Saccharomyces cerevisiae S288C: one gene and its partners. Changing the gene in region 1 together with any one later gene gives a genetic interaction. Each region holds a gene or a part of one and is shown on either strand. Other genes may lie near its edges.

The links.
Region 2: mutations in CLA4 (region 1) and FAB1 together harm fitness more than expected from each alone (negative genetic interaction), as found in Saccharomyces cerevisiae (5 studies listed by BioGRID, with this or other methods).
Region 3: mutations in CLA4 (region 1) and BEM2 together harm fitness more than expected from each alone (negative genetic interaction), as found in Saccharomyces cerevisiae (5 studies listed by BioGRID, with this or other methods).
Region 4: mutations in CLA4 (region 1) and BCK1 together harm fitness more than expected from each alone (negative genetic interaction), as found in Saccharomyces cerevisiae (9 studies listed by BioGRID, with this or other methods).

Annotation. Positions count from the first base shown.
Region 1 is NC_001146.8:66,372-72,395, reverse strand, and holds CLA4 (serine/threonine protein kinase CLA4), read right to left. Parts: upstream 3,482-6,024; coding exon 953-3,481; downstream 1-952. Other genes in the region: MON2 (Mon2p), read left to right, coding at 1-723; non-canonical poly(A) polymerase TRF5, read right to left, coding at 3,951-5,879. UniProt on the Saccharomyces cerevisiae protein: Involved in budding and cytokinesis.
Region 2 is NC_001138.5:182,492-191,392, forward strand, and holds FAB1 (1-phosphatidylinositol-3-phosphate 5-kinase), read left to right. Parts: upstream 1-2,010; coding exon 2,011-8,847; downstream 8,848-8,901. Other genes in the region: IGD1 (Igd1p), read right to left, coding at 1-370; YFR018C (uncharacterized protein), read right to left, coding at 640-1,731. UniProt on the Saccharomyces cerevisiae protein: The PI(3,5)P2 regulatory complex regulates both the synthesis and turnover of phosphatidylinositol 3,5-bisphosphate (PtdIns(3,5)P2).
Region 3 is NC_001137.3:476,535-485,337, forward strand, and holds the start of BEM2 (GTPase-activating protein BEM2), read right to left. Parts: upstream 6,315-8,803; coding exon 1-6,314. Other genes in the region: MYG1 (Myg1p), read right to left, coding at 6,791-7,807; Golgi transport complex subunit COG3, read left to right, coding at 8,254-8,803. UniProt on the Saccharomyces cerevisiae protein: GTPase-activating protein (GAP) for RHO1 and RHO2. Involved in the control of cellular morphogenesis. Required for proper bud site selection and bud emergence.
Region 4 is NC_001142.9:244,391-252,483, forward strand, and holds BCK1 (mitogen-activated protein kinase kinase kinase BCK1), read left to right. Parts: upstream 1-2,864; coding exon 2,865-7,301; downstream 7,302-8,093. Other genes in the region: SAP185 (Sap185p), read left to right, coding at 1-868; enoyl-CoA hydratase PHS1, read left to right, coding at 1,201-1,854; mitochondrial 54S ribosomal protein bL21m MRPL49, read left to right, coding at 2,100-2,585; KHA1 (Kha1p), read right to left, coding at 7,431-8,093. UniProt on the Saccharomyces cerevisiae protein: Serine/threonine protein kinase involved in a signal transduction pathway that plays a role in yeast cell morphogenesis and cell growth. This pathway seems to start by SMP3; then involve the kinase PKC1 that may act on this kinase.

The DNA of each region.
Region 1 (6,024 bases):
AAGGATAACTTTTGTGATTTATTTATAAATGTTATTGTTGTCACATTACAAAGAATCAACCCAGAGCTCGATAATTTAACCGAGATAGACGATTTGAATGAGTATTCCAAATATAGGGAGATATTGCTGGAAAACAGAATCATTGATCTCTTCAATGAAAGGCAATTAGACACTTTCATTTATGCCGTCTGGGATTGTTCATTTTTATATGAATTCGATGAATTAGAAAATGCTTTGATGCAAGACTGTGGTACGTTTTCTGAATTGTCTCAAAAACTATCTTCGTTCGATTTTTCATGTATATTTGGATCCACCACAAATCCTCGCTTTCAGACAAAATATAAGTGCTCTTTAGAGTGCTTGCAAGATTTGGTTAATTTTATGTTGAACACAAACGAGAAATTAAGAAAGTTAACTGCTCCTTATCTTTCTGCAAGAATTGCCCTTGCTCTTAGAAGATATATCTCAGATGAATACTTGATTGGGCGAGCACCAATACCAAAATTGCGTAAAACAGAACTAGCTACTCTATTAAATGGGCTATGCGTGATTTTAAGAGGTGTTCTAGATCAAAATTCGACCCTTGGCAACAAACAAATTGGAGTTGAAAACCTACAAACATTAAGTCCGTTGATTTTAAGAACCATCCCAGTATCTCATAAAATGGATGGCCTCCAAGATAAAGTTTTGGAATTATCACTTGGATTTACGAAACTAGACTAGAAGCTGAAGCATGGACGAATATTTTTAAAAATCACGTAGGATAAATAGTAATATTAAACGACATTGGATTGATTATTGTATCGTTGCAGGTCTTTTTTTATTTACTTTAAAAAAAAAACTTTTAAGGTGAACGTATTTATATATTATGCCATTGGTATGCATAGCTAAAAGAAAAGAAATACATAAGATTGTAGTATGTATGATATGCTTATAGAAATAGTTGTGTGCTTCATTCCTTCCACTCCAACAGTGATGTCAAATCCTTTGGATCACATGCCATATTGAAAAAACCGTGGTGTAAAAGCTCTTCGGTTGATGCCCTATATCTAACATCTACGCAAAGGCAAACGCTTAGAAAGCGTTTAATTTCTAAAGACAAACTTTCTGGATGCTTGAGCTTTGGTGTACCATTAGTTGCAATTAAGTACAACGCCTTTAGTGGATCTTCATTTAAATATGGTGGTTCACCCTCCAGCATTTCAATGGTCATGATACCCAAAGACCATACGTCAATCTTTTCATCGTATTCACGTTGTTTGACAACTTCAGGTGCCATCCAGTAAGGTGTCCCAACCATAGTGGCTCTTTTGCTTCTTTTATCAGTTAATCTGGCGCAAAACCCAAAATCGGTAATTTTCACCCTAGCTCTAGTGTCCAGCAAGACATTATCTGATTTAATATCCCTATGAATGATATGCTTGTCGTGTAGAAATTTCAAGCCTTGGCAAGTTTCTCGTACGATATATGCAATTTGGGGTTCTGTTAGTGGTGAATGTGAATTATCGTTGGTGGGACTATTCTCGATAATGTCTGTTAGTGAACCTCCTTCCATAAACTCCATCACAACCCATAGGTCATCGTCTGTTCTCAAATAAGCCTCGAGAAAATTGACGATATTTTTATGACGTGAATCCTTCATAACCAAAATTTCATTCACTATGAGTTCTTTACGAGGTTGTTTAGATAAGACCATTTGCTTGATAGCAACTTTATCTCCTACGTGCGGCTCATCAATATCATTGTTTATGAGTTCGATCATATTACTTTCTGTCGGAATATGCGTCCTCTCTGCAAGGTAGACGGACCCACTTGCACCTTGACCGGCCTTCTCGATCACTTTAAAGCATTGAGATGGATCCGCATTTACGGTGACTTTCTTCAGCTTACTCATTATTTCTGCAGTTGACATGGTAGGCCTTGCTGGCTTCTTCGGTTTGGCCACACCACCCGGTTGTGCGACATCTGCATCCGGTCTCTTTGGGGCCTGCCTCATTGTTTGTGGGGTTGACTGGTCATTCTTAGGTGCAACAGGCTGTACATGTGTGTTACTAGTAGCATTTTGATTTGATGGGTATGGCGCCCTTGGAGCTGATATTGGTGGCTTTGGAGCTGTTCTTTGAGGTTGAAAGTGTGCGGCTGTAGGACTTGAGTTTTGTGCATAACGTGGAATTGCTTGGTTTTGGGTCGACTGTGAACTTAATGGCGATTGAGGTTGTTTGGAATAAGGATTTATCATATTGTGATGTGGCCTATAAGGGTTTAATGGAGACGGAGATGGGGATGGAGATGGAGATGGTCCTTGATGGTGGTATGGATATTGTTGATGCTGTTGTTTTTGTTGCTGCTGCTGCTGCTGCTGCTGCTGCAAAGATCGTTGAGAATTGTTTGGATGCATAGGTCCCCTAGGAAATTGGCCATTGGTTGGGGAGTGTCCGTTTCTCATCTTAGGATATTGTTGGTTGGGAACATTTTGTAAGTGTCTTGGAATATTTGACTGACTAGTGGGCAATTTTGTATTTATTGGTGGCAGTGAGCCGCTTCCTAGAGAAACAGGCGATTTGGTATTTGGTGGTTGTGAGGTTTTCCTCTGTGATACCATACTTGAAGAAACGCCTGAAGATGACTTTGAATTTACTGAATTATTTCTGAGTTTGTTATCATTATAGCTGTTTGGCAGCGATTTTTGAGAGGAGGAAGTTTCACCACTTTGAGGCTTGTCTAAAGTATTTGTGGGATTTCCGGCTCCATTATACTCTTGATAAAACTGCAACACTTGAATGACAGCCGCAGAATTATTGTTCCAATCTTCTCCTGTAATTCTGGAGTGCTTTAATAATTTTTCCCAGTTGGTGGGCATACCAACAAAACTACCTGTTTCTGGATCAAAACCAACGTGAACTTTATGTGTGAAGTTTGTTGGAGAAGATACACCACTTAATAATGGACATTTAGCAAAAATGGCGTCTAACCAACTATGCAAATCGCTTTCTGTCTTTGTAGCAATGTATATTGATTTTTTGGAGTTACTGTCTGATGATACATTCAAAGAGGACGAGGATCCTGATGATACAGAATTTCGGTCACTGCAGCGCACCAACTCAAAACAATATTGTTTCAACTGTGTCCTGCTTACACTTATAATACTAGTTAGTGGTATCTTCAAGATCGCATCGTCATTTTGTTTATCGTTCTTGTAAAGGGCTACATACGAATCGTGTAGCATCAGGTATCTCTTTTGCCATATAAATGAAAGTATACCGTCATCTTTGTAGGACACCCACCCGCTTTTTTTTTTGGAGGTACTTGTACCTAAATGGGACGCTGATGTTAAATCCAGTTGACTCATAAGTTTGGTTATAGGTTGCGTTTGATTATAGCAAGTACGGCCCTGGCTATTTGAACTGGGAGGTCTAGGTGCCGGTCCGATATTTTGGAAATCGTTGTCAGATATCTTATTCGCTGCAGCTGAAAGAGACATATTTTGCACTATTTCTTTTATGTTTCAGTTTCACTGTTCGATTTATTACACCAAAGAAACCACCAGGAATGAATGATAGCAAAAGATGCAATGGTTTTCAGTAGCGCAGTACGTTCGATCGAAATAAAGGACTTAAGGTTTTGATCTTATTAGCAGCAGAAGCAAATAACTGGCAACGCTAATACATGTACAAGGCTCAGGCTAGAAGGTTCTTTCAAATTATGTGTCTCGAATCAGACTCTCCTGCACGTTCCATACTATGTTTCTATCATGCCAGAGATGAAAAATTTCGTCATCTTACCGGCTCGAGAAAATTTCCATATCGGGAAACTATCCTTTTTTGGTGGCTCTATATTTCCGGAAAGGGAAAATACCCACGCGTTTGATATCATTAGCTTATTGTTTCACTTGGACATCGATGTGGTATTCTTGTATAAATAGTAAATAGTCTATAAGAGTCTATATTGTGTTAAAGAGCCTGGCCTTTAGAGAGCCAGTAGTCCCTTCTCGTTTGAGCATCTACTGTCTTAGTTTCCAGTGGTGATTTCTCATCTTGTCCCGAAGGGGTATCTCTTCCTTTTTGATCTTGATCGGATTCTTGATCATTCTCAGAAAGTCCCATCAAGTCATCTATGCTGAGGTTGTTTTGGTGTAGGAGAGAGCCCTGATCAGTTTTTTTCACTTTGCGTTTCAATTTGCTTCTGCTCACTCCAAAATCCGGAGGTGGAGATGGAATGGCACTCTTTTTGATTTCCCCTTCTCTCTTATCCTTTTTTGCCTTCTGTTTCTTCTTTGCAGGTTCGTCAAGTTTGTAGATCTCCTCTACTGGCAAGTCTTCGGTGTCGTTTATAAATAAATCTTCTTGAACTATCCTCGTGCGCCTCTTGTGGTAGCGCTCGTTTTCAATGATGGCTTTATTCTGCACTAAATCTCTTTCGTCGTTGAAATCTCTCTTTTGCCCACGGTATTTGATCACGTTTCCGAGTATACTTTTTCCAACGCGGTCTTTGAATGTAGCAGAATTCAATTCCCAGCATTTATTGACCAACAGTTCGAAGGCACCAGCAAAGGCCTTTTTTATATCCTTCATATTAAAGGAGCCTCTGCTTATATTATTGTTAGGATCACCAGGATCTTGAATAGCTAGCGAGAATTTACTCCTTGAAGGTTCCAAAGTTCTCCAACACGATTTAGGAATATAAGAGGCGTAACCATCAGATATGCTTATAGCAACGTCATCATAACCAAAATTTTTTCCGTAAAGTTCGAAGAAGTCAATCAGTAGAACACCCAGGTTATCTAGAACGTCGATATCGTTTGATTTTATTCGCGGATGCATATTTAAAAAAGAATAAACCAAACAGATTACTGTGAAACCTCCCAATCCTCCTGTGTGCACATTGTTCAATCGTCTTGAATGCAAAAATTGTTTTATTATCAGTACCAGTTCACGTAACCCTGGAGAGTCTCTTAGCCATTCCCTGATGAGTTTTGCAGCCTCTAACCCGTTCGTTCTTTCAAATGAAACGTCGATATGTAACTGTGATTGGGGCTCTATGAATTTGATAATAGGCACTCGCGTTTTAACAATAACCTCCATTCTTATAGCTAGCCCTTTGTTTTTCAAATGTCTCGCCAATTCATAAATGTAATTTCTGTCCTCTTTATCGCGATTCCGGCTGTTTACGACACAGTCAATGTCAGAACCCGGCAAATATAAATCGGTGGCAAAAGAACCAAACACATGCAAATCTGCATCCGACCACAGTTCCTTGACCGCCCGGCGTAGTTTATCGATCGTTCTATTTCTGCACTTGATTTCGTTCTTGCTTGGAGAGATATAATGAACGAAATCTTTGATTTCTGAAGTTAGCCAATCTGCTATTCTCCTTTGTTTCGAATGACAATGATTTCTTATCCAAGGATACTCCACATTGCAAGCGCTTTCAGTGTTCAGAGATTGCTGTGAAGTAAGCTTAGAAACTTCATGTTCATCGGTCAACAGAAAACTGCTTCTTTCATCATCATCTTCCTTTATTTGTTCTGTTTCATCTTCAGAGCTGTCCGAAAAAGCAATAAAATCTTGATTATCTTCGAGAGAATTGTTTCTTTTGCTAGATTCTGCCCTTTGTTCATCTTCACTTGATGTGACTTCTTCTATTACAGGTATGTCGACATCACTTTTATCATTTTCCATTAAGACTAGGTTTCCGAAAGTGTCATCGTCTTCAACGTCGATAGCGAGGCTCTCGTACTTGTTAAAATGCGAGCGATTATCGTTAAATACTTCAAGCATTTTTTGCGTTCTTGTGAAGGATGATTTACGCATACGTTTTGTATGTTTATCTTCTTTTCTTTTACCTTTTGTAGGTGAATATTTTGCTTTGAGCCTTGTCATGACGACCCAATAAACTCCGCCCTCGTTTGTTTATTTGAAAAATAAAAAATGATACGCTAGTGAAACGAACCAGCTTAACCTTGTGAACTGTTATTACAGATGTTTGCTTTCATCAAGTATCGCTTTATTACCTTTTTACAACTTT
Region 2 (8,901 bases), on another chromosome or scaffold:
CCACGCCAGCGTGGCTCAGGTCAGAGTCGTTAGTGGTCCTGTATTGCATATTGTGGATAGTATTCTGGAAATCCATGGGTCCGCTACTCCTACGTTCGGCTCCCGGGGCGTGCTCCCCGATACTGCTTTCGCGTTCCCGGGCTTGTTCCCTGGAATTTAGTGCGTCCATATAATTGGTAGACCGCCGTCTAATCATGGGGACTGGCTTGTCTACGCTTTGAGCGGGAGCGCTTGGACCCGGGAGGTTGAATGTAGAAACACTAGGTGTTTCCTGTGCACAGGGCGGTTCGTCGATGTTGAGGAAGTCCTGTGATCTTTCAAATGTGGGTGACGTGCTCACTTGGGGCGTGTTCAAGTGGGGATCTGTCATGAGGGTGAGTGTATGCGTGTGTGTGTGTGTTGCGTAGATGTGTGATTTACTATGTGTTATGTAGCTGCTCTCATCGCTGCTGATAGTAGATCTCTCGCGCAAAAATTACTCAGGCAAACCTTTACTATACCTACATATATATATATATATATGTATATGTATGTGTGCAAGCTTTTCAGAGTGGTGCACTGACATTGACCGGGCCACTCATTCCACCCCACATCCCCCAGATCAGGGGGAGATGTTAACGAAAGGAAACAGGGGATTTATCACTGGTTACGGGAGCGTAGTGACTGTACTACAAATTCGCACACAAGCAGCGCCCAGTGACGAGTCTCCGCGGCGTCTAAGTGCCGGAAGTCATCATCCACGGTGTGCCATGTACTTGGGAATGGTAGCGGGATTGCATGTAATACGGGTACTCCGGCGGCCAGGAATGGCGTGTGGTCGTCTCCGATGACCGAATGCCCGAGCCCTAAAAATCGATAGTCCGTGGGGTCCAGATGTTTGCGTTGACGCGCGACTTCGGCGGCTAATGCCGATTCGCCGTTGATTTCATCTCCACGTCGAAATAACAAGTCATCCTCTATTCGATTGAGCAGCTGATATTCTTGATGTGTCTCTGCATAGTAGCTGGGCACTAGCGGCTCCTCTTCGCCACTTCCTAAAAGATCCAGAAGAAATAATAGGCGAATTCTTGTCATCGTGCCGTCAGCAAGCCATTGGGCGGCTAATCGGCGTGCTCCATAAATCGAGTCCTCGGGGCCCCACTCTTCAATGGCCTCCTCTCCATCAAAGAATACGATCTTTACACCCAAGGTAGAATTCGATACTACAGTGTTCGACTCTAAGTCATTGTACTCTTTCGTGCGCTCGTGGCACGCGATGTGCGTTAGGAACTGGGCCGTATATAGCAGCGCGGCACACGAGGCGGCACTGTCGATAGCGCCCACCATCCCCGTGGGCGCTATCTTGGTATCATAATGAGCAGCGAGCACTAAGTACTCGCTCGCATTGTTTTGTAATGTCATAACAAGGTTATTGAAGCGGTAACCGTTCTCCTCAAAGGCTTGCGTCTCAACGGCCCATTCTCCCGCCAGCGTATTGTTGAAGTGCTCGATGATGAAGCGCTGGATCTCGCGCGAGCCTTCCGATCCGGGTACGCGCGTTCTGTTAAAAGGCAACAGCAGGTTCTTGGTACTTTTGTTCCAACCGCTGTCTGGGTTGATAGCTTCGTTCAGATGCGCTGCATGGTACTGCTCATATGACAACTCCCACCCAGTTACCCTATGCACCTGAAATAGCACCAACAGGTACGCTAGACCAATTAGTCGCAAAGGCAATACGTACTTCATTCCCATGCTTACGACCTTTTCAGTCTTTTTATTTCTTTTCTGTTGACTCTCTCTAACTCTCCCTCTCCCCCTCTTCTTCCCATGAAATGTATCACAAGCCGTCTTATTCCTTTGCTTCTTATATTCTTATGTTCCTTCCTTCGTCTCGCCTCGAAGGCAACGCAAACGCAATGTACTTCTTGACGAACGCGAAAACCATATGGAAAGTAAATAAAGGGCCAAACAAAAAACTATTTCGAATAGCAAGGTAGCTTCCATCCTGTACATGCAAGACCGTCACACAGCATGTCATCGGAAGAACCCCATGCATCTATATCCTTTCCAGATGGCTCACATGTCCGGTCGTCCTCCACTGGTACTTCATCTGTGAACACAATCGATGCTACCTTATCCAGACCGAACTATATTAAGAAACCGTCCCTGCACATTATGTCGACATCTACGACGTCGACTACGACGGATCTAGTGACAAACCCAATTCTGAGCAATATCTCCGTGCCAAAAATAAGCCCCCCCACATCATCCTCGATAGCAACAGCGACATCAACAAGTCACGTGACCGGCACTGCGTCGCATTCGAACATTAAAGCTAATGCTAACACTAGTACCAGCGTGAATAAGAAAAATTTGCCGCCAACAACTAGTGGGAGGATACCCTCTAGCACCATCAAGAGATATCCGAGTCGCTATAAGCCTTCTCACTCGCTGCAGCTGCCCATTAAGAACGACTCCAACTTTAAACGATCTAGCATATATGCCTCCAAATCCACTGTTACTGCTATCCCCATTAGGAACAATCGGCCAATTTCCATGCAGAATTCCTATGCGCGCACTCCTGACAGCGATCATGACGACGTTGGCGATGAAGTGTCTTCGATAAAGAGTGCCTCTTCTTCGTTGACCGCATCCCTGTCCAAGAGTTTCCTGTTCGCATTTTATAACAACCGCAAGAAGGACAAGACCAGTAACAATGGTGTCCTCTCAAAGGAATATTGGATGAAGGACGAGAGTTCTAAAGAATGTTTCAGTTGTGGTAAAACGTTTAACACTTTCAGAAGGAAACACCACTGCAGGATATGCGGCCAAATTTTTTGCAGCAGTTGCACTCTCTTGATAGATGGTGATCGATTCGGCTGTCATGCCAAGATGCGAGTATGTTACAATTGTTATGAGCATGCAGACACATACGAGGACTCCAGTGATGAAGAGAATGATTCTACAATGCAATTGAATGAGCCAAGGTCTCGCTCTCGCTCTCGTTCTTCCAATACCAATCCATATTCTCATTCACATTCGCATTTGCATCTCATTTCACAGGACAACCATAACGGTACCGATCTCCATGATCCAGTAGCAGCAACGGATAACCCTCAACAGCAGAATGAGGTCTACCTATTAAATGACGATGACGTACAAAGTATAATGACCTCAGGTGAAGATTCTAAATTGTTCATTTCTACACCCCCACCACCACCGAAGATGGCCATCCCAGCAACAAAGCAAGGCGGATCGCTGGAAATCTCATTCGATTCGGAAAACGATAGGGCTTTGCATTATCAAGATGACAACCCCGGTCGCCATCATCACCTCGATTCCGTGCCCACAAGGTACACTATCAGAGATATGGACAATATATCACATTACGATACCAACTCTAATTCCACTTTGAGGCCACATTATAACACCAATAACAGCACTATTACCATCAACAACCTCAACAACACTACTTCCAACAACAGCAACTATAACAATACCAATAGCAACAGCAACATCAATAATCCTGCGCATTCCTTAAGAAGGTCTATTTTCCATTATGTAAGCAGCAATAGTGTTAACAAGGACAGTAACAATAGCTCTGCAACACCCGCTTCGTCTGCACAGTCTTCTTCCATACTGGATCCTGCCAATCGTATTATCGGGAATTATGCTCATAGAAATTACAAGTTTAAATTCAACTACAATTCCAAAGGTCCTTCGCAACAAAATGACACGGCAAATGGAAATAATGATAATAATAATAATAATAATAATAATAATAATAATAATAATAATAACAGTGCCAGCGGTATTGCTGACAACAATAACATTCCCTCAAACGACAATGGCACGACGTTCACTCTAGATAAGAAGAAAAGAAACCCACTGACAAAATCTAAATCTACGTCCGCTTACCTAGAATATCCTCTAAACGAGGAAGACTCTTCTGAGGACGAAGGTTCCATGTCCATATATTCTGTATTGAATGATGACCATAAAACTGACAATCCAATTAGATCAATGAGGAACTCCACAAAATCTTTTCAACGAGCGCAAGCTTCACTACAGCGGATGAGGTTTAGAAGGAAAAGTAAAAGCAAGCATTTTCCCAACAATTCGAAAAGTTCCATTTATAGAGACTTAAATTTCTTGACCAATAGTACTCCCAATTTACTTTCTGTAGTAAGCGACGATAATCTATACGACGATTCTTCTCCTTTGCAAGACAAGGCCTCTTCATCCGCTGCAAGCAGACTCACTGACAGAAAATTCAGCAATAGCAGTGGCAGCAATAATAATAGCAATAGTAATAGCAATATCAACACCGATCCTTGGAAGAGAATCGCTAGTATATCGGGATTCAAACTGAAAAAGGAAAAAAAGAGAGAATTAAATGAAGTCTCTCTTTTACATATGCATGCCCTATTAAAACAATTATTGAATGATCAAGAAATTTCCAATCTTCAAGAATGGATAACCCTTCTAGATGGCGCTTTGCGTAAAGTTTTAAGGACCATCCTGAACGCGAGGGATTTGAACACATTAGATTTTAGACAAACTTACGTTAAGATAAAAAGAATTAGTGGTGGATCTCCTCAAAATTCAGAATATATCGACGGGGTTGTCTTTTCGAAAGCATTGCCGTCGAAAACAATGCCACGGCATTTGAAAAACCCAAGGATACTATTAATCATGTTTCCACTGGAGTACCAAAAGAACAATAACCACTTTCTAAGTATAGAGTCCGTCTTTAGGCAAGAGCGCGAATATTTGGATAAACTTGTTTCGAGATTAAAGTCATTACATCCTGATATTATATACGTCGGCGCCAATGTTAGTGGGTACGCGTTAGAACTATTAAATGACTCAGGCATTGTCGTACAGTTTAATATGAAACCACAAGTCATTGAAAGAATTGCCAAGCTAACAGAAGCAGATATTGCCATTTCTGTGGATAAGTTGGCTACGAATATTAAGATGGGTGAATGTGAAACTTTTGAAGTTAAAAGCTACATTTATGGAAACATCAGTAAAACATATACATTTCTTCGGGGCTGTAACCCAGAACTTGGTGGAACAATTTTGTTAAGAGGTGATAGTCTTGAAAACTTGAGAAAAATCAAACAAGTCTCTGAATTTATGGTCTACGCAATTTTTTCATTGAAGTTGGAAAGTTCATTTTTTAACGATAATTTCATACAACTTTCTACAGATGTTTATTTGAAGAGAGCTGAATCCAAAAAACTGCAAGTTTTCGAAGGTTATTTTGCAGATTTCTTGATCAAATTCAATAACAGGATTTTGACTGTATCACCAACGGTAGATTTCCCCATTCCCTTTTTATTGGAAAAAGCCAGAGGCTTGGAAAAGAAGCTCATAGAAAGGATCAATCAATATGAAAGCGAATCTGATTTAGATCGGCAAACGCAACTAAATATGCTTCAAGGCTTAGAATCGACTATCACTAAGAAACACTTAGGAAATTTAATAAAATTCCTGCATGAAATGGAAATTGAAAATTTAGAGCTTGAGTTTCAGAAGAGAAGTCGTCAATGGGAGGTTTCATATTCATCATCACAGAACTTACTTGGTACGGGCTCACACCAGTCTATAACAGTTCTCTACTCAATGGTTTCAACAAAGACTGCCACACCTTGCGTTGGCCCTCAAATTGTTACTATTGACTATTTTTGGGACAGTGATATTTCCATTGGTCAGTTTATCGAGAACGTCGTGGGAACTGCCAGGTATCCCTGCCAACAAGGCTGTAATGGTCTGTATTTGGATCATTATAGAAGCTATGTTCATGGGTCAGGAAAAGTAGACGTTTTAATCGAAAAATTCCAAACTAGATTACCAAAATTAAAAGATATTATCCTCACGTGGAGTTATTGTAAAAAATGTGGGACATCTACTCCGATTTTACAAATTAGCGAAAAAACCTGGAATCATTCTTTCGGTAAATATTTAGAAGTCATGTTTTGGAGTTACAAAGATAGCGTGACAGGAATTGGGAAATGTCCTCATGATTTCACTAAAGATCATGTCAAATACTTTGGTTACAATGATTTAGTGGTTCGACTAGAATATTCTGATTTAGAAGTTCATGAATTGATAACCCCACCACGCAAAATAAAATGGAAACCTCATATCGACATCAAACTGAAGGTGGAACTATACTATAAGATTCTGGAAAAGATCAATAATTTCTATGGGAGTGTCCTAAGTCGGTTGGAACGTATTAAATTGGATAGTATGACTAAAGATAAAGTTCTTAGTGGACAAGCTAAAATTATCGAATTGAAGAGCAATGCTACAGAGGAGCAAAAATTAATGTTGCAAGACCTGGATACTTTTTACGCAGATAGTCCTTGCGATCAACATTTACCATTGAACCTGGTTATCAAATCTCTATACGATAAGGCTGTAAATTGGAACTCTACATTTGCGATATTTGCAAAAAGCTATTTGCCTTCTGAAACTGATATTAGTCGTATCACGGCCAAGCAGCTGAAAAAACTGTTTTACGATTCTTCAAGAAAAGACAGCGAAGACAAAAAATCACTTCATGATGAAAAGGCGAAGACGAGGAAACCAGAAAAGAACGAATTACCGTTAGAGGGATTGAAAGATGTCGAAAAGCCGAAAATTGATAGCAAGAATACGACAGAGAATCGTGACAGAACGAACGAACCACAGAATGCCGTGACGATAACCACTTTTAAAGACGACACTCCAATTATTCCAACAAGTGGTACTAGTCACTTGACAGTTACACCTTCTGCATCGTCGGTTTCTTCTTCTTTGACCCCTCAAACCGAAGAACGTCCGCCAATAAGCAGAAGTGGAACAGGTATATCTATGACTCATGATAAAAGCACTAGACCTAACATAAGAAAAATGAGTAGTGATAGTAGTTTATGTGGACTAGCATCACTTGCTAATGAATATAGTAAAAATAATAAGGTGAGTAAGCTAGCTACATTTTTCGATCAAATGCATTTTGATGCCCTGTCGAAAGAATTTGAACTGGAACGTGAAAGGGAAAGATTACAACTTAATAAGGATAAATACCAAGCCATACGATTACAAACATCCACACCAATTGTGGAAATTTATAAAAATGTCAAAGACGCAGTTGATGAACCGCTTCACTCTAGAAGTTCAGGCAATAATTTGTCATCTGCGAATGTTAAGACTTTGGAGGCACCTGTGGGAGAACATTCCCGGGCCAATAATTGTAATCCTCCTAATTTAGATCAAAACTTGGAAACTGAATTAGAAAATTCCATTAGCCAATGGGGAGAAAACATTTTGAACCCCTCTGGAAAGACCACCGCAAGTACTCATTTAAATTCTAAGCCAGTAGTAAAGGAAACTTCAGAAAATCCAAAGTCAATAGTTAGAGAATCAGATAATTCAAAGTCGGAGCCGCTTCCACCTGTAATAACAACAACAACTGTCAATAAGGTAGAATCCACTCCACAACCTGAAAAATCATTATTGATGAAAACCTTGAGCAACTTTTGGGCAGATCGATCTGCGTATTTGTGGAAACCCCTTGTTTATCCAACCTGTCCTTCGGAACACATTTTTACTGATAGTGACGTTATAATCCGCGAAGATGAACCAAGTTCCTTGATCGCATTTTGCTTAAGTACTTCTGACTATAGAAATAAAATGATGAACTTGAATGTCCAGCAACAACAGCAGCAGCAAACAGCAGAAGCTGCTCCTGCCAAAACAGGAGGAAACAGTGGAGGAACTACGCAAACCGGGGATCCTTCTGTTAACATTTCTCCCTCAGTTTCTACAACTTCTCATAATAAGGGGAGGGACTCAGAAATTTCATCCTTAGTAACCACCAAAGAGGGCTTGTTGAACACCCCTCCCATTGAAGGCGCCCGAGATAGGACCCCACAAGAATCACAAACGCATTCCCAAGCAAATTTAGATACTCTTCAAGAATTAGAGAAAATTATGACAAAAAAAACAGCCACACACTTGAGATATCAATTTGAGGAGGGTTTAACGGTAATGTCATGTAAAATTTTCTTCACAGAACATTTTGACGTGTTTAGAAAGATTTGTGATTGTCAAGAAAACTTCATTCAAAGTTTGTCAAGATGTGTTAAATGGGATTCCAATGGGGGGAAAAGTGGGAGCGGGTTTTTAAAGACTTTGGATGATAGATTTATTATAAAGGAGCTGTCACACGCAGAACTGGAAGCCTTCATAAAATTTGCACCAAGTTATTTTGAATACATGGCACAAGCAATGTTCCATGATTTGCCCACGACTTTGGCTAAAGTATTTGGGTTTTATCAAATTCAAGTAAAAAGCTCTATTTCAAGTTCCAAAAGTTATAAAATGGACGTTATCATTATGGAGAACTTATTTTATGAGAAGAAAACAACAAGAATATTTGATTTGAAGGGTTCCATGAGAAATAGACATGTCGAACAAACAGGTAAAGCTAATGAAGTGTTGTTGGATGAAAATATGGTAGAGTATATTTACGAATCACCTATTCATGTTCGCGAATATGACAAGAAACTTTTAAGAGCTTCTGTTTGGAACGACACATTATTTTTGGCCAAAATGAATGTGATGGATTATTCCTTAGTCATTGGTATTGACAATGAAGGGTATACTTTGACAGTAGGAATCATTGATTTCATTCGAACGTTTACATGGGACAAAAAACTAGAAAGTTGGGTCAAAGAGAAAGGCCTAGTAGGGGGGGCCAGTGTGATCAAGCAGCCTACCGTTGTTACACCAAGACAATATAAAAAACGTTTTAGGGAAGCAATGGAGAGGTATATTTTGATGGTTCCTGATCCGTGGTATAGGGAAGGAAATTAATACATAAACGTGTACAAGTTATATTCTGTAACTTTTTTTTATACACTATCACGC
Region 3 (8,803 bases), on another chromosome or scaffold:
ACAATTCTTTTCAAAGTTTGGTAATAGCATGTAGGTAACTTTTGGAGTAACTCATTCATCATTCTCTTGTATTCTTCATTTACCATTGCATGTGCTTTATACTTAATCGCCAAATCGGTAAAGTCGTTCACCATAGCATGAGAAAATAAAGAATCTGGTAACTCTCTTAAATACATCTTAAAACAGCCTGCGATCGCATTCACTTCAAACCATCTATCGTCCTCTAATGTAAAGGAATTATCTGTTGCACCTTCTTCGTCAAATGCGTTCTTTAGTGCATTTATACTGCCGATGGAACCAGGAATTCTGTACAATCCCACTTCATCTAGCCCACGCAGCTCAATCTCTTCCAGCAATTTCACAACAATTGTAGGTATCAAGGTATTCTCTCTTTCACAAACGTCTTCTAATGGTACCCCAAATATCTTATTATGAGTTTTACCTTTATATTTTTTCGAATGGAATGAAAATCTCTTGGAAGCCTTGATCATTTTTATCCATTCTGTGAGGTCACTAGAACTAGCCGTTTGAATCAGATATTCATGGCCATTTTGCATAACTATCTTGAACGCATAGTAGTAAGCCGGAATGTTTCTGTGATTGATTATTTCCATTATTGACTTGATTTCAAAGGTCTTCAAACTATAACTAGGTTTTAAGTCGTGTAGTTGCATGGAATCAACCTCTGGAAGTATACTTGGTAGAATGGATTTGTTACTTGAAACTTCTTGCGATAATATACTGTTGAGTGAATAATTAGAACTGGATGTGTTGAATCCACCGATTGAAAATGGTCTTCTGAAAAATCCACCTATTTTTTTACTAACACCATTATGGCTGGAATTTGACACTACTGATGATCTATTTGTGGAAAAGGAGGCCCTTGAATCTCTTCTATTCCTTGCTGAATTATTGCTTTCCATAACACTACCTAGAGAAGGCGTTTGACCGGTGTTCTTATTGATATTATAGCTATGATCGTTGTCACTATGAGTACCTGAGATAATAACAGACTTCCTATTCTTTTTCGGAACGGCCTGATGTAAAGCAGCAGAGTTCTTCAAGATCTTTTCTTGATCGAGTAAAACCTCTAATTTTCTGGCTTCCCTCTTTATTTTTTCAATTTCATTGACTAGTATTTCATTAAATACTCCCTGCTCTTGAAATCTCTCCGATATGGCTTCTGATTCTGATACTTTTTTAGTCTTCTTTCTGTATACTTTATTAACATCTTCAAAATTATTGAACAGAATGCGGCCAAATGTAGTTCTTTTCGAAGGATTTTCGTCACTCATTTCAATATCAAGTGGAAACTCCCTTTCGTTCGGAATTAAATCCAAGACATTAGATATTATGTTGTTAACAAATCTCCTTTTGTCAAAATTAATAAGTTTCGAATTAGTGATACTCATGTTAGGGACAAACTGAGATATTTCTAGTAACCTTGAAATGAACCAACCAGGGCAGGGGCATAAATTCTTGCAGTTTTTGCTGAATACATCATCAATCTCAATGAATCTCTTTATATGTATGTCATCTATCTTCTCTAAAACGTTACTAATCGATCTTAGATTTTGGGTTCCTTTAGTAGGGTCCGAAAGTTTTTCAGAAGCTTTGATCCACGAAAGTTCATAGTTTCTAGACTCTGGTGATATTATGGCATGCGCAATAGCAGTTTCAATAAAAGCTGGAATGTGTGGACAAATAGCATGAGGACTTTCATCCTCCTCTGAATCAAATAAATCCAAACTTCCGTTTTTCCAGCGGATGTAGTTCAAAATTTGTAATATAACTTTACAAGTAGTTAACCTTTCACTACTGCTTTTGTTGACGTTTGAAATTTCCATCACGAAAAACGTAGTTAGACTCGTGTGTAACTTTATTAACAATTTTATAGATTGTGGTAGTTTTTCAAAAAAAAGACTCTCCGTACCATTATCATCCTTAAGAATCAATGTAGAAATCCAAGTAAAAAGATTGGAAATTTCAAACTCGTGCAATTGCAAATATCCGGGGTTTATCAATTTGCTTGACTTAAAATGTAGCGGATAATTGAAAAAAGAGACCAGAGATTCCTTTGAAAGCAATTCCAACTCCTGGAAAAGAACTATCCAATCTTTCTTAGAAACTAAATTGAACTTCTTAGAAATAAAGTTATCTAACTGGTAGATCCATTCTAGTATATCTTCGTAATTGGTTGAGTGTAACTTTTGAAAAGATCTAATCATGTCATCGCTAAAGGAAGGATCATCAATGATGTTGTTAAGATCTGTAAAAGAGAATGTGTTAAAGGAATTCAAAATGTCAGTTATTCTCTTCTGAGTTCTATTGACACCAATAGGTCTGTATAGTTGCTTTTGGTATGCTGATTTAATACCATGAAATAGATCAGTTAACGTAGTCAACAAATTTTCTGTTTCAATCACAAAATTTTCTGGTAGGCTTTTTTGTAACTTTGAGTTTGCAATTCGCGTAGGCCATTCAGTGGATACTTCTTGTTCCATTATTTTTATAATATCCAATAGAGTAGAGTTGTTACATAAATCGTCAGTAAAGTCAGAGTAATGATTTTTCACTAAATGTAGTATAGCTTCCGCGGCGCCGATTTGGATTTTTGCCATATAAATAAGGTTTATGTTTTCATCGTCAGTTACTTTCATATCCCAAACAGGAAAATTTTGGTCGTATAATGAAGAGGACACTAAATTTGTATCCTCATTTATCTTCATTTTAGAATCATCACTGCGATCTAAAATCTTGGAAATTGACACGCTGCAACTCTTTGCACCAACATACCGTTTTGCCATATTTTCTAATACCGTAGTTGTAGTAGTAAAGCTTTTATAAGTGTTGAAGAATGTTTCTGTGAAAATATCATTGTCCATAGTTAGTTTAACGAATGCATAATCTAGTAGTCCTATGTTATCATCGGAAAGCCCTCTGGTAGAATGACCCCTTTGTCTTTGATGATAGTAATAATTCTCAAGGTCTTTAGTGTCTACCAATTTTGAAAAGATATTTGAAGTTAATACCAGTAAATCAAAAATCTTTTCTAGCGACGACGATTTCAATACGACACGAATAATCGATTCTTTTAGTGAATCTGATACTTGACCAATATTGTTGAAAAAGTCCATATTTTCTAATGTCTTACTTAGTCTTCCAGTGGTATCCAAGGAATCTCTCATCTTTTGGTTTGGAGTAGCTGGATTATTAATAAGCATGGAAGAGTGTTGTGAGAATCTCTTTGGTGTTTCTATGACCATACTAGCAGGACGGGATTTACCATCATTATCGTATACCGATTTAAATACTAACTCATCTGATATATGAAACACATCCATGTCAATATTAAAAACATCTCTCACAGATTTTAATAGTCTCTGTTTATTTGATTGTTTTGACGACATCTCTTTGATCACAGGTCCGTCAATTTTTCCAACACCTGTAACTTTATTATTATCATTTTTTGAGGACATAGCATCATCTGTTAATGAGCCCATAGTGTGACTGTTTGAAGCTATTGGAATTGGTTCACTGATTGAAAGTGATTTTGAGAGGCGCGCGGATGATCTTGGAGGCGGCAACTTCGCATCACTGGCAGCACCCACTAATGTATTCTTAGGAAATAGTGAATAATTTGGGAATAGTTCATTGAATAAAATGGGTAAATAACTTCCAGTTACTAAAGCACTCCTTTGAGAACCAATAGTAGAATACGCTTTCTGGTCGATTATTGGAGGTTCGTGTTGGACACTTAATTTCATTATTCCTTCAATGTTCAACGGAGGTTGTGATAAATGAAATTTCCAGAGCTGATAAACAACGTTATTAGGAGAATCATTATCCCTGACGTTTTCTGTCGAATTAGTTTTATGTCTCGTAGAGTCGATTGCTTGTAATCTTTGTTGCCATTTATGAAAAGCGTTTTTTGTTCTGTTAATTTTCTTTTCCAAGTACTTGAATTTCGTATCAGATGGTAAATCATCAGCATGAATTAATAAATCGCCAAAATAAGAAATCACGTTAGCTCTCGTAAAGTCGTCATCCAGATTTGGAGGAGCGAGTATGAAAACACTACTTGTAGATTTAGATGTCCTTTGTCGCCTCTCTAACTGAATAATGGTAGGAACCCAATCTTTAAAAATAGTTTTCAATGACTGATCAGGAACATATTTCCATGAAGATGACCTTAGTACAGGAATTGAACAAATGATAGTGGCGACAGCTAGCCATGATACCATGTCTCCTAAATGTTCAAATCTACAGCCAATTTGGACCCATTTATCTAATAACTCAGCTCTCACTTTTGGAGTCACTTTTTTACTAAACTCAGGATTTGTTGGAAATAAATGTGATATTAGTAGCCTTCCAAGAAAATGGATATTTTGGTCGTTGTTGAATACCAATGGATTTAACGAGACAATTCTTCGATTAATAAACTTCGAATCATACAGCAGAGAATAGTCAAATTTCGGTGCCCATACTTTATCAAACTTTAAATTGATATGATGAACTTCATCAGCCAATGTTGTAATGTCTAAAGACAGGAAATGACTTGGATCCAATATAATCTCTAATTCATGTGTAGATGATGTTGCCATTGGAAGAGATCGAGTGAATGCGGTAAGTTTCATTAATTCGTTATGTTTATTGGCGATTTTAATTTTCAAATTGTTGGAAATTTCATCGTTATGCAAAGATATAGTATCTAATAAGGAAATTATAGTCTTCAGCATTGGTTCATCCAGCAAAAATCCCGGAAATACATCAAGGATTGTTTTAGCAGTTAAAGCTAATCTTTGAGTCATGGAGTCATCGACAGCAGGGGATATGTTGTAGAATTGTGTGGAATTATTTGTCAATCTTGATTTATTCTTGGTAAAAGAAAGACCGAATTGGTTGAATACCTTTAGAAACTTAATGAAATGATCTAGTAATGGAAACATCAATAACAGATTAATAACAGCTCTATGTGTCTTAGATAATGATTTCTCATTAGGTACGTCCGATTGCTTTGGACCGGGGTAAAATAAGACTGTGTGACATAAACTTTCTATTGTGCCTGATATAATTTTACCATCACTGTCTTGTCTTAAATCTGGGTGCGGGTAAACTTCAGATAAATACTTCAGGTCCAGTGTAATAGGTTCACCCATTTGGCCAAATGATTGCTTTTGGTGCAGAGCTTCCGCTTGTGCTTGGTTGTTTGTTTGTTGTTTTTTCTGTTGATGGTTTTCATTTGCTATACTACTATTTGAAGCTGGTAAAGTTGGATCAAAAAACTTAATGTTACTATTCAAACCACTTTTGTAAAGGTTGAGAACGCAACCTTTCAATTGAGCCCTATAAAGACGGTAATCAGGTACTAGCATTTGAGGATCTATAGCCATGCTGCTTCTTGCTGAGGCCACATCATTGCCACTGTTAGTGGCCGTAGTACTACTGCTGTCATCATTTTTTAAAGACGAACCGTCGTTCCCATAAAACCTGCTTTCCCTGTTTCTAGAATACGCATCATTACGGAGATTCTGAGAGGAGGACGAAGAGGAAGAGGAAGGGGCTGTCATTGAGCTATTATAGTTTGTAGCAACAGTCTGGCCATGGGACTTATTAACCCATCCAGTCTTAAAAACAGTTGTATCATAGTTTTCAGAGTTTAAGTGGATAACATTTCTTTGCTTTTGCTCGTTATCGTTGTTATTATTGCTATTGTTATTATTAGTGCCGCTACTGTTACTGATACCTGAAGTGTTCAACGATTTCTCTAGCGTAGTTCCAGTGCTACATCGAGACTGAGGAGGTGATAAAGACGAGGAACGTGAAGGCAACAATGAGTCTTTCGAATGGGCACTCTTCTTGTACGCAATGGGAGTCTCATCCTGGGCATTGGACTTCTGGCTAGAAGAATTGCTTATTTCATCTTCGGAGCAGACAGACGGAGAATCGTCTTTTAGCGTAGAGGCTATGCTTCTAGAAGATCTGGTGTTAGTATCCGAATGATACATCCCCAAGTTCACCTGACTGGAACTAGTGGATGTGTACTGCTTGGAGGGTGGAAATACGGAGCTTTTTCTCTTATCTCTGTTGTTGTCTTCCCCTCTGTGGTGACTGTGTCCCTGGCCATGGTGATGGTGGGAATGCATGTATGGAGAAGCACCGCTTGTCGAGTTTCGAATAGTTTGAGAGGATGATGACGGCGACGACGACGATGCTGTAGACGCAGTAGTTGTCTTATGAGACGTGGAAGTTGAGCTTGAACTAGCACTGGCCGTTGAAGATTTCCTGTTCTTAGACCAGAGAAGACCTTTCATTAGACTCCTGCTTCGTTATTTGTTTTTTTTGTGTCTATCCAGAAAAGGCACGACGACCGTGTGTTCTTTTAAACTGAAACGTTTGCTTGTTTGTTCTGTTGGAAAAAATGGGACTGATCTGCAGTCTCCTAACCAAAGAGGGAAAAAAAAGAAAGAAAATTGCGTATAGCGGGAACGGGAGAATACGAAATCTGTATATTAAAAATGAAAAAGAATGTTTGAGTTAGCAGACAGTACCAGTGGCTGCAACGTAGCTTGCTTCTTTTGTTTTTGTTTTTTGTGCAACAAGAGCCGTCTGATATCTTGTGTTCTCAGGTCATTTTCAAGAGCGTGTTTCACCGAGGGGAATATGTTTCAGGATTCGCGGCGGGAAGATTTTTGCTTGCATTAAAGATTTACTTACTATACAGAATAAATAGTGGAATTGTTAAATATTATTAAATAGATAAGGGACCTGACTGAGCGCTCGCTCCCGACTAGGCCAAAGACATCTTAGCCAGCTCATATACAGCCTCTTTGGACTTGGCACCTCCAATGAAACCTGCTGCATGAATGAAGATACATCCTGGCACACCGCTCTTGGTGCTCAGCTCTTCGTCTCTGAGGCCTCTTAATGGCTCCGGCAAACCTCTCCTAAACTGGAAGGAGGTGGAGTTGATTGGTACAGTAGATACCCTCCAGGCACCAGAAGAGTCTGTGAAGAGAACAAACTCGATTTGCTTTTCAATGTTCTTCTCTCTTTCCAGCTCGTATAGATGCTCCTTCCATGGACAGAATTGGGGCAAGACAATGATTTTGCCACTCTTATCAACATCCATTCTTTCATCAATGGCTTGCGCCACAAGGGCCTTGGCTGGCAACCACGATTGACCGTAGCCTCTTACCAATGTGACAAAGACCCCACCGATAAACTCACTTGCGCGAGCAAAGCATCTGTCAAAAGACTCATCGGAAGTGTCTTCGTTCCAGTTAGGATTCATACCTGAAATAATCCCGGGAATGCTGATGGCGTTATCCCTGAAATTCGGTTCCAAGTTGGAATCCTTAGGAATCGTGTACTTGCTAATACCGTTGTCGTTTGCATCCAGTGCCTCGACAAATTGTTTGTATACCTTGTCATAGAGCAGATCTAAATCAGAGCTGCTAACCTTGTTGTTCAAAATTGTTTTGATAATGTCACGACCGTAGTGTTTGAAGATCAGACCAGCACTTGAGAGCTTAGTCTTGTATTTCTCGTTGAAAGTTTCGAAAAATCCACGCTGGTGGTGGTCAAAAAATTTCACGCCGTCATACTGAGCTCCTACATCCACTAGAATGTCACTAGCCTCCCAGTCCTTGGGATTTCTTGATCTAACCAACTTAGCATCTTTAAATTCGGGTAGTAGCCTTAACATGTATACCGCCAACGACTCGTCCGCGTGAAAAGATCCGGAATGCGTGCATATTTGTTTGGACATTTTTGAATTTAGCTTTACTCTTTTTACGCTATTCATGCAGACTTTTTGGGCTGGGCTCTTCAATTCCACAGCTTTTCGATAGTATTAACACATCATTACTTTCTACGTTGACAGAAAATTTTCGTGATTTGCCGTTCCCATCGCTCGAAAAGAAAGTGAAAAACTGAAAAAAATAATAGAGATTTATCAATGAATACAGTAATCCAAAGACGAGAGAAGAGCAGGAAAATTCGTACTTATATTGCAACTTAATGGTGGGCTCAGATTTTTCGATGCTCTGCCTCGTAACTCTAAGTATCAGCTGCGGATGGATCATAAGTAGTATTAATATAGAATATAGAGGCGCAAATTGAGGTTACCCTGTATAACGGCAGTCGTTGCGTCCATTGTTATGTAAAGTCTTGGCTTTATAGACACACAATAAATACTCCCAGCATGAATTGTTTTACCCAATATTGCACGAATTATCGACACATCCAAAGATGGCGAGAAGTAGAAAGAATTCATTGGTTCGAGATATTGCGTCTCATCCGACTATACCAGAATCTCAGACCATAGTGGGTTTACTGGACGATTCGTACCTTTTTGATAAGCTAAAAAAGCTATCTTTGGCTGTGGAAAATTCTGACAGTCTGCAAAGAACTGATGTCTCAGAAGGTTGTTCAGAGGTTAATGGTTCTGAAGCTACGACTTCTGCGGATGTAAAAAAGACAAACAAGTATTTGTATTATACTACCTATTTGGACCAGTTAAACATTAAGATAGACGAGTATAAAGTTGTTCTGGATCAAACACGCCAGGTTAACGATCAATTGGATAGTTCCATCAAGAAATTTCGGAAAATCTCTCAGGATACTGGAGCTTTCATTGAGGAAACGAAGACGATCTATGAAAAGCAGTCTAAATTAAGCAATCTAACTGAGTCAATCCCTAAAGCTCTCCATTATTTTGAAGTTTTAGACCCTATAATGCGTCGCTTGAACCATGCCACTTCTCCCGCTATTGTTAAGAAGAGCTCCTTTACGACAATGT
Region 4 (8,093 bases), on another chromosome or scaffold:
CAACGCCATATTAGGCGATATAGCTGAAGAAGGAGACATGTTGCAAGATGAAGAAGAGGATGCTGTATACGACAAGGGAGAGCGCACTATGGGTACAGTCGATGACTACATTAATGACATAATGCAAATGGACAATGTACGGTGTCAAGAGGAGGAAGAGGATGAAGGAGAAGGGTATGTCAGCTTTGATGAAGATGAACCCCAAGAATATCGTAATGGTGATTCCGTTAGAAGCAAAGAATCGAATTCATCAGAAGGCAAACGTGACCAAGAGCAGCTTTACTATGAGTACGTTAACGAAGATGGTACAAAAACAAGATTAAACTTCAATCCTGATTCTGACGCCACGGAACAAGTTCCAGGTGAAGTGAATCGCGATCATAAGATACCATTGAAGCTTAAGCGAAGTTTTACGGATGCATGCAAATCTGAAACAATACCAAATAATACAGTTAATGCTAAGGAAGAAAGTGTATTTCAATTTAGCAATGAACTTAGTGACGGCTGGGAGTCATCACCTTCTAATTCTATACCCAAGCGTGCTTCTCCATCAAAAAATGGCATGAATTCACCTATGTTTCAACACCAGTTTGAACTTCATAGCCCCACCGATGAATTTGGAGGTCATAAAGACGAAATATTAAGCGCGGAAGGCCATGACTACGACATAGATGAATACGATGAACTGAGCGATGACAGTGATGAAGAGTATGATAACTGTGAAGACGAAGACAGTTTGGATTATGCTGATTCCGCCGCATATGCATTGTGTAGATCCAAAAGTAAGGACAAGATATCATGGGATGAAGAAGAACAGGCGCGATTAATGGGCGTTGTAAAATTTAATTCAGAGCATTACAGGGACTAGGAAATAATACTAATTAAATAATTCTAATAATTCTAATATTAATAACAATAATAATAAGAATAATAATTATACAATAACACATGTATTTCCTAACTCACAATCGTTTGGACTACATATGCTGTCTAGTGCCTTATTGCGACTTTGCCCGTTTGATAACTTACTTCGATTGTTTAGTATTCAAAAAGGAAAAAGGCGTTTTCTTTTTCGTGTACTTTTTTTCGAAATTCTGTTGAATTTATTCGAACTCAGAATTGGTCCATCAAGAGCATCCAAAATACAAAATAACTCATCATCACACAAGAAGAAGCACAACTCCAAGCAATTTCTACAATATGTCAAAAAAACTTGCGTCACCATTGTCCTTCTTACCCCTTTATAATTTGCTTTCTGCTGTTGGTTGGTCTTATTTGCTTTACTTGGTCATCTCCTTGTACCCAAAAGTTGGACAGCCAGCATTCTTCTACCAAACTAAAAATGTCGCTACCCTTGTTCAATGTGGTGCTATAATCGAGATCATAAACTCATTTTTAGGAGTTGTACGTTCCCCATTGCTGACCACTGTTGCACAAGTGTCTTCAAGACTACTAGTTGTCCTCGGCATCTTCCAATTGTTGCCAAACACAAGTGGTGTTCAATCAGTTGTTTACATATCATTATTACTGGCATGGTCTATAACTGAGATCGTCAGATACTTGTATTATTTTTTCATGTTGGTATTCAAGAATGGCGCACCAAAGATCTTAATTCTATTAAGATATAATTTGTTCTGGATTTTGTACCCCACTGGTGTTGCCAGCGAACTACGCATTATTTACTGTGCTTTAAATGCAGCTGAATCTCAGTATTCTTTACTTTACAAAAGAATTTTAATAGCGGCCATGCTCGCTTATATCCCAGGCTTCCCAATGCTCTTCCTACACATGGTAGCACAGAGAAAGAAAGTCATGAAAAGTTTAAGATCCTCTTTCGGGAAGAAACTAATTTGAATTCTTTAGATAAATTCTTCTGTATTTTTTATAAGAATATTAGCCTTCACATTGAAATGGCTTCAACGCTCTTAACCATAATCACTAGTATCTTGCGGTGCACGGGCTTTATATTGAGCAAAATTGCGAAGGGTAGCCGAATTAGAGAACTCTTAGAAAGATGTCGAAGCTCACTCGGAGTCGACCTTCACAGCCTACTGAAACAACTGTGCCGAGACAATCTTAAGTGTGTTGCTCTAATTTTCATGCTACAACTGAAATTCATATGGCCAGTGGCCAGAATCACACCTATTTATAGGCCATTTACCAGTCATCCATTCAGAAATTTAGCTACTTCCTCAAGCATCAGTAGTACAAAAGCTAAGACTACTAAGACAGATACAACTCCACTAAAATTATCAAATGAACTATATGCAATATTCAAGATTCATAATCGTCCATATTTGGTGACCGAGGGCGACAGAGTTATTCTTCCATTCAAATTGAAGCAAGCGGAGGTGGGTGACATTTTAAACATGACCGATGTAACAACTTTAGGATCTAGAAACTACAAGCTAGTTGGTCATCCAATCAATACTTCTCTGTATACTTTAAAAGCAACCGTTGTTGGGAAAACTAAAAGGGCTTTCCAAACTAGGGAGGTAACGAAGAGAAGAAATAGACGGGTCCGTCATGCAAAGAGTAAAGGTGATTTGACAATCTTAAGAATATCAGAACTGAGTATGAACTGAATTTTAGGGATATGTACATATACGCATACGTATAAAATCATGTAAATAACAATAAAATTTGACACACTTTCTTCGGCCCCAATGGCCATTCAATTCCAGACCGACGCGTCTTCTAAGTTATAATGCTATGAAATTTCAACAAGTTAATTAAAAGTAAGCATAATAATAAAATCAGGTAATGGATTCACCAAAAAAAAAAATAAAAAAACAAGGGCAGAGGGGTGACCATTAGTACGAAACACTAAATATAGTATTAAAATAGTTCAACTCCACCTCCAAATGCCCTTTTTGAGGAAAATAGCGGGGACAGCACATACACATTCTAGGTCTGATTCGAACTCATCTGTGAAATTCGGCCATCAGCCGACTAGTTCGGTAGCATCAACCAAAAGTTCAAGCAAAAGCCCTCGTGCAACATCTCGCAAAAGCATTTATGATGATATTAGAAGCCAATTTCCCAACCTAACCCCCAACTCTACCTCTTCTCAGTTTTACGAAAGCACGCCAGTTATCGAACAATCCTTTAATTGGACGACAGATGACCACATCTCAGCTGGAACGCTTGAAAACCCAACGAGCTTTACAAACAGTTCTTATAAAAATGACAATGGACCTAGTAGCCTCTCTGATTCGAGGAAATCCTCCGGTGGCAATAGCGTAAATAGTTTGTCCTTTGACAAGCTAATTCTATCGTGGGATCCTACAGACCCTGATGAATGGACAATGCATCGCGTCACCTCATGGTTTAAATTTCATGATTTTCCAGAATCCTGGATATTGTTTTTCAAAAAGCATCAATTGTTTGGTCACAGATTTATAAAGTTGCTTGCATATGATAATTTCGCTGTTTATGAAAAGTATTTGCCGCAGACTAAAACTGCTTCATATACCAGGTTTCAGCAGTTATTGAAAAAAACAATGACCAAGAACGTAACAAATAGCCATATTCGTCAGAAGAGCGCTAGCAAACTTAAAAGTTCCAGGTCTTCCAGCGAATCGATCAAATCAAAATTAAAAAATAGTAAATCGCAAGAGGATATTTCAAATTCTAGATCAACGTCAGAATCTGCATTGAGCCCAACAAAATCGGGCCCTTCCAAGACCGATGAAAAGAATTTTTTACATTCTACTTCAACACACCAAAAAACCAAAAGCGCAAGTTCACTATACAGAAGAAGTTTTATATCCCTAAGAGGCTCATCATCGAGCAATGCTTCCTCAGCAAAATCACCTTCAAACATCAAGTTAAGTATACCGGCTCGGCCGCACTCAATTATTGAATCTAACAGTACACTTACCAAATCGGCGAGCCCACCTGCATCTCCTTCGTATCCTAGCATATTTAGAAGACATCACAAAAGTAGTTCATCTGAGTCGTCATTATTAAATTCCCTTTTTGGTAGTGGAATAGGCGAGGAAGCTCCAACAAAGCCTAATCCACAAGGTCATAGTCTGTCTAGTGAAAATTTAGCTAAAGGAAAATCTAAACACTATGAAACTAATGTGTCTTCACCTTTAAAACAATCTTCACTACCCACTTCGGATGATAAAGGTAATTTATGGAATAAATTCAAAAGAAAGAGCCAAATAGGGGTTCCTAGCCCAAATACGGTAGCTTATGTAACGTCTCAAGAAACTCCATCCTTAAAATCGAATTCGAGTACTGCTACCTTAACCGTACAAACGGCAGATGTAAATATACCATCTCCATCTTCATCACCACCGCCAATACCCAAAACTGCAAACAGAAGTTTGGAGGTCATCAGCACAGAAGATACACCTAAAATTTCTTCAACCACGGCGTCTTTTAAAGAAACGTATCCTGATTGTATTAATCCAGACAAGACAGTTCCAGTGCCGGTAAATAATCAAAAGTATAGTGTAAAGAACTTTTTACTGGACCAAAAATTTTATCCTCTGAAGAAAACAGGGTTAAATGATAGTGAGAATAAATATATTCTGGTTACCAAAGATAATGTTAGTTTTGTTCCGCTAAACTTAAAAAGTGTAGCAAAATTATCCAGTTTCAAAGAATCTGCTCTCACAAAATTGGGAATCAATCACAAAAATGTCACTTTCCATATGACAGACTTTGATTGCGATATTGGTGCTGCAATTCCAGATGATACTTTGGAATTTTTGAAAAAAAGCTTGTTTTTGAACACTTCTGGAAAAATTTATATCAAAGACCAAATGAAGCTTCAACAAAAACCGAAACCTGCTCCTCTCACCTCAGAAAACAATGTTCCTTTAAAATCGGTGAAAAGTAAGAGTTCAATGAGGTCCGGAACAAGCAGTCTGATAGCATCGACAGATGATGTTTCCATTGTCACTTCGTCTTCTGACATAACATCATTTGATGAACATGCATCAGGAAGTGGGCGCAGGTACCCCCAAACCCCGAGTTATTACTATGACAGAGTTTCCAATACTAATCCAACTGAAGAATTGAATTATTGGAATATTAAAGAAGTTCTTTCTCATGAGGAAAATGCACCAAAAATGGTTTTTAAAACAAGTCCAAAATTAGAACTCAACCTACCAGATAAAGGAAGTAAATTAAATATTCCTACCCCCATAACAGAAAATGAAAGCAAGAGTAGTTTTCAAGTGCTAAGAAAAGATGAGGGGACTGAAATTGATTTCAATCATCGTAGGGAATCGCCTTATACAAAACCAGAACTGGCACCAAAAAGAGAAGCTCCCAAGCCTCCCGCAAATACTTCTCCTCAGAGGACCTTATCAACTTCTAAACAGAATAAACCGATCCGCCTAGTGAGGGCAAGTACAAAAATTTCGAGAAGCAAAAGATCGAAACCATTGCCGCCACAATTATTATCATCTCCTATAGAAGCTAGCAGCTCGTCTCCTGATTCGCTTACTTCCTCATATACTCCTGCTTCGACTCATGTTTTGATACCGCAACCTTATAAGGGTGCAAACGATGTTATGCGTAGGTTGAAAACAGACCAGGACTCGACGAGTACTTCCCCATCTTTGAAAATGAAACAGAAAGTGAATCGCTCAAATTCAACTGTATCGACTTCAAATTCAATTTTCTATTCTCCTTCACCATTGTTAAAAAGAGGTAACTCAAAAAGAGTTGTTTCGTCGACATCTGCGGCCGATATATTTGAAGAGAATGACATAACATTCGCGGATGCTCCGCCGATGTTTGACAGCGATGATAGTGATGACGATTCTAGTTCATCCGATGACATTATCTGGTCCAAGAAAAAAACAGCTCCTGAGACTAATAATGAAAACAAAAAGGATGAGAAAAGCGATAACAGTTCTACGCATTCTGACGAAATATTCTATGATTCTCAAACGCAGGACAAAATGGAGAGAAAGATGACCTTTAGACCATCTCCGGAGGTCGTTTATCAAAATTTAGAGAAATTCTTCCCAAGGGCTAACTTAGATAAGCCAATCACTGAAGGAATAGCTTCACCAACATCTCCGAAATCCTTAGACAGCCTACTTTCACCAAAGAATGTGGCTTCATCGAGAACTGAGCCAAGCACTCCTTCCCGTCCCGTCCCTCCTGATAGCTCATACGAGTTCATACAGGATGGACTTAACGGTAAAAATAAACCATTGAATCAAGCTAAGACACCTAAAAGAACAAAAACCATAAGAACCATTGCACATGAAGCTAGTTTAGCAAGAAAAAACTCTGTAAAACTAAAAAGACAGAACACCAAAATGTGGGGTACAAGAATGGTCGAAGTGACCGAAAACCATATGGTGTCAATTAATAAAGCCAAAAATTCGAAAGGTGAGTATAAGGAATTCGCCTGGATGAAGGGTGAAATGATAGGGAAGGGATCTTTCGGTGCTGTTTATTTATGTTTAAACGTTACTACAGGTGAGATGATGGCCGTTAAGCAGGTTGAGGTCCCCAAGTATAGCTCACAAAATGAAGCCATTCTAAGTACCGTGGAAGCATTAAGATCTGAAGTGTCCACGTTAAAAGATTTAGATCATCTTAATATTGTTCAATACTTAGGTTTTGAGAATAAAAACAATATTTACAGTTTGTTTTTAGAATATGTTGCTGGTGGCTCCGTGGGATCCTTGATTAGAATGTATGGAAGATTCGATGAACCGTTGATCAAACATTTAACAACACAAGTATTAAAAGGATTGGCATACCTACACTCGAAAGGTATTCTCCACAGGGATATGAAGGCAGACAACTTACTTTTGGATCAAGATGGTATCTGCAAAATCAGTGACTTCGGAATTTCAAGAAAATCAAAGGACATATACTCTAATTCGGATATGACCATGCGAGGAACAGTCTTCTGGATGGCTCCTGAAATGGTTGATACAAAGCAAGGCTACAGTGCAAAAGTTGATATATGGTCTCTGGGATGCATCGTTCTGGAAATGTTTGCTGGTAAGCGCCCGTGGTCCAACTTAGAAGTCGTCGCAGCCATGTTCAAAATTGGAAAGTCAAAATCGGCACCACCAATTCCTGAGGACACTTTACCATTGATATCGCAAATCGGACGAAATTTTCTGGACGCATGCTTCGAGATAAATCCAGAGAAAAGGCCAACCGCTAACGAGCTTCTTTCTCATCCTTTTAGTGAAGTAAATGAAACATTCAATTTCAAATCTACCAGACTCGCGAAGTTTATAAAGTCAAATGATAAGTTAAACTCTTCAAAATTAAGGATAACCTCTCAGGAGAATAAAACTGAATAGCTATTAGGATCGATCTATACTTAAGATATTTATGCATACGTAATAATATAGAACAATAAACATAGATGACGGAATGACGGAATGACTGAAAATTAAGAACAAAGAAAATTAAAAAATTTCTGCTGATACTTATTCAGACGAAAAATGGTGCACAATAAGGGTGTCAAAACGACGATTCGACCCTTCAAATATTACAGTCCTCACCTCTTCGCTGAAGGGCTCACTTTCATCAGGAAGGTCCTCTCCAATAATAAAGGTAGTCTCCTCTATATCAGCTAAAGCAGTATCTGATAAACCAACATCAAGCACAGTCTCTATAAAGGACGGCTTTTCAATTGCTTCTTCTGGAACTTTCGTTTCAAAGGGGATATCCACAATTTTAATGGTAGATTCGTTTAGCCAGTCATGCTCAGCAAATGCAGTTGACAAATCTTTTGCGAAATCAATATTCTTGCTGTTAATAAATATACTACAGGATGCATTATCATTATTATAGCCATCTCTATAGCATATCAATAAGAGAAGATATAGTCCAAGATAATCGGATTGTGTCAGGTATGGTTTTGGAAGTAATAAATTGAACCGTTTCCTCTTAAAGCGATCAGCATTTAATCTGCCATAGGTATTTGAAATTTGAACGGCAAAATTTGCCTTGAGTGACTGGAAAATAGACTTGAAGAAAGTAGATGATAGTTCATTCAGACCTAGGAGATGAGAATAAATGTGATCAAAGTTTGCGTATTTTTCATCAATGAAGACTGGGCTCCCTCTATACTCATACGAGGCCCCTTT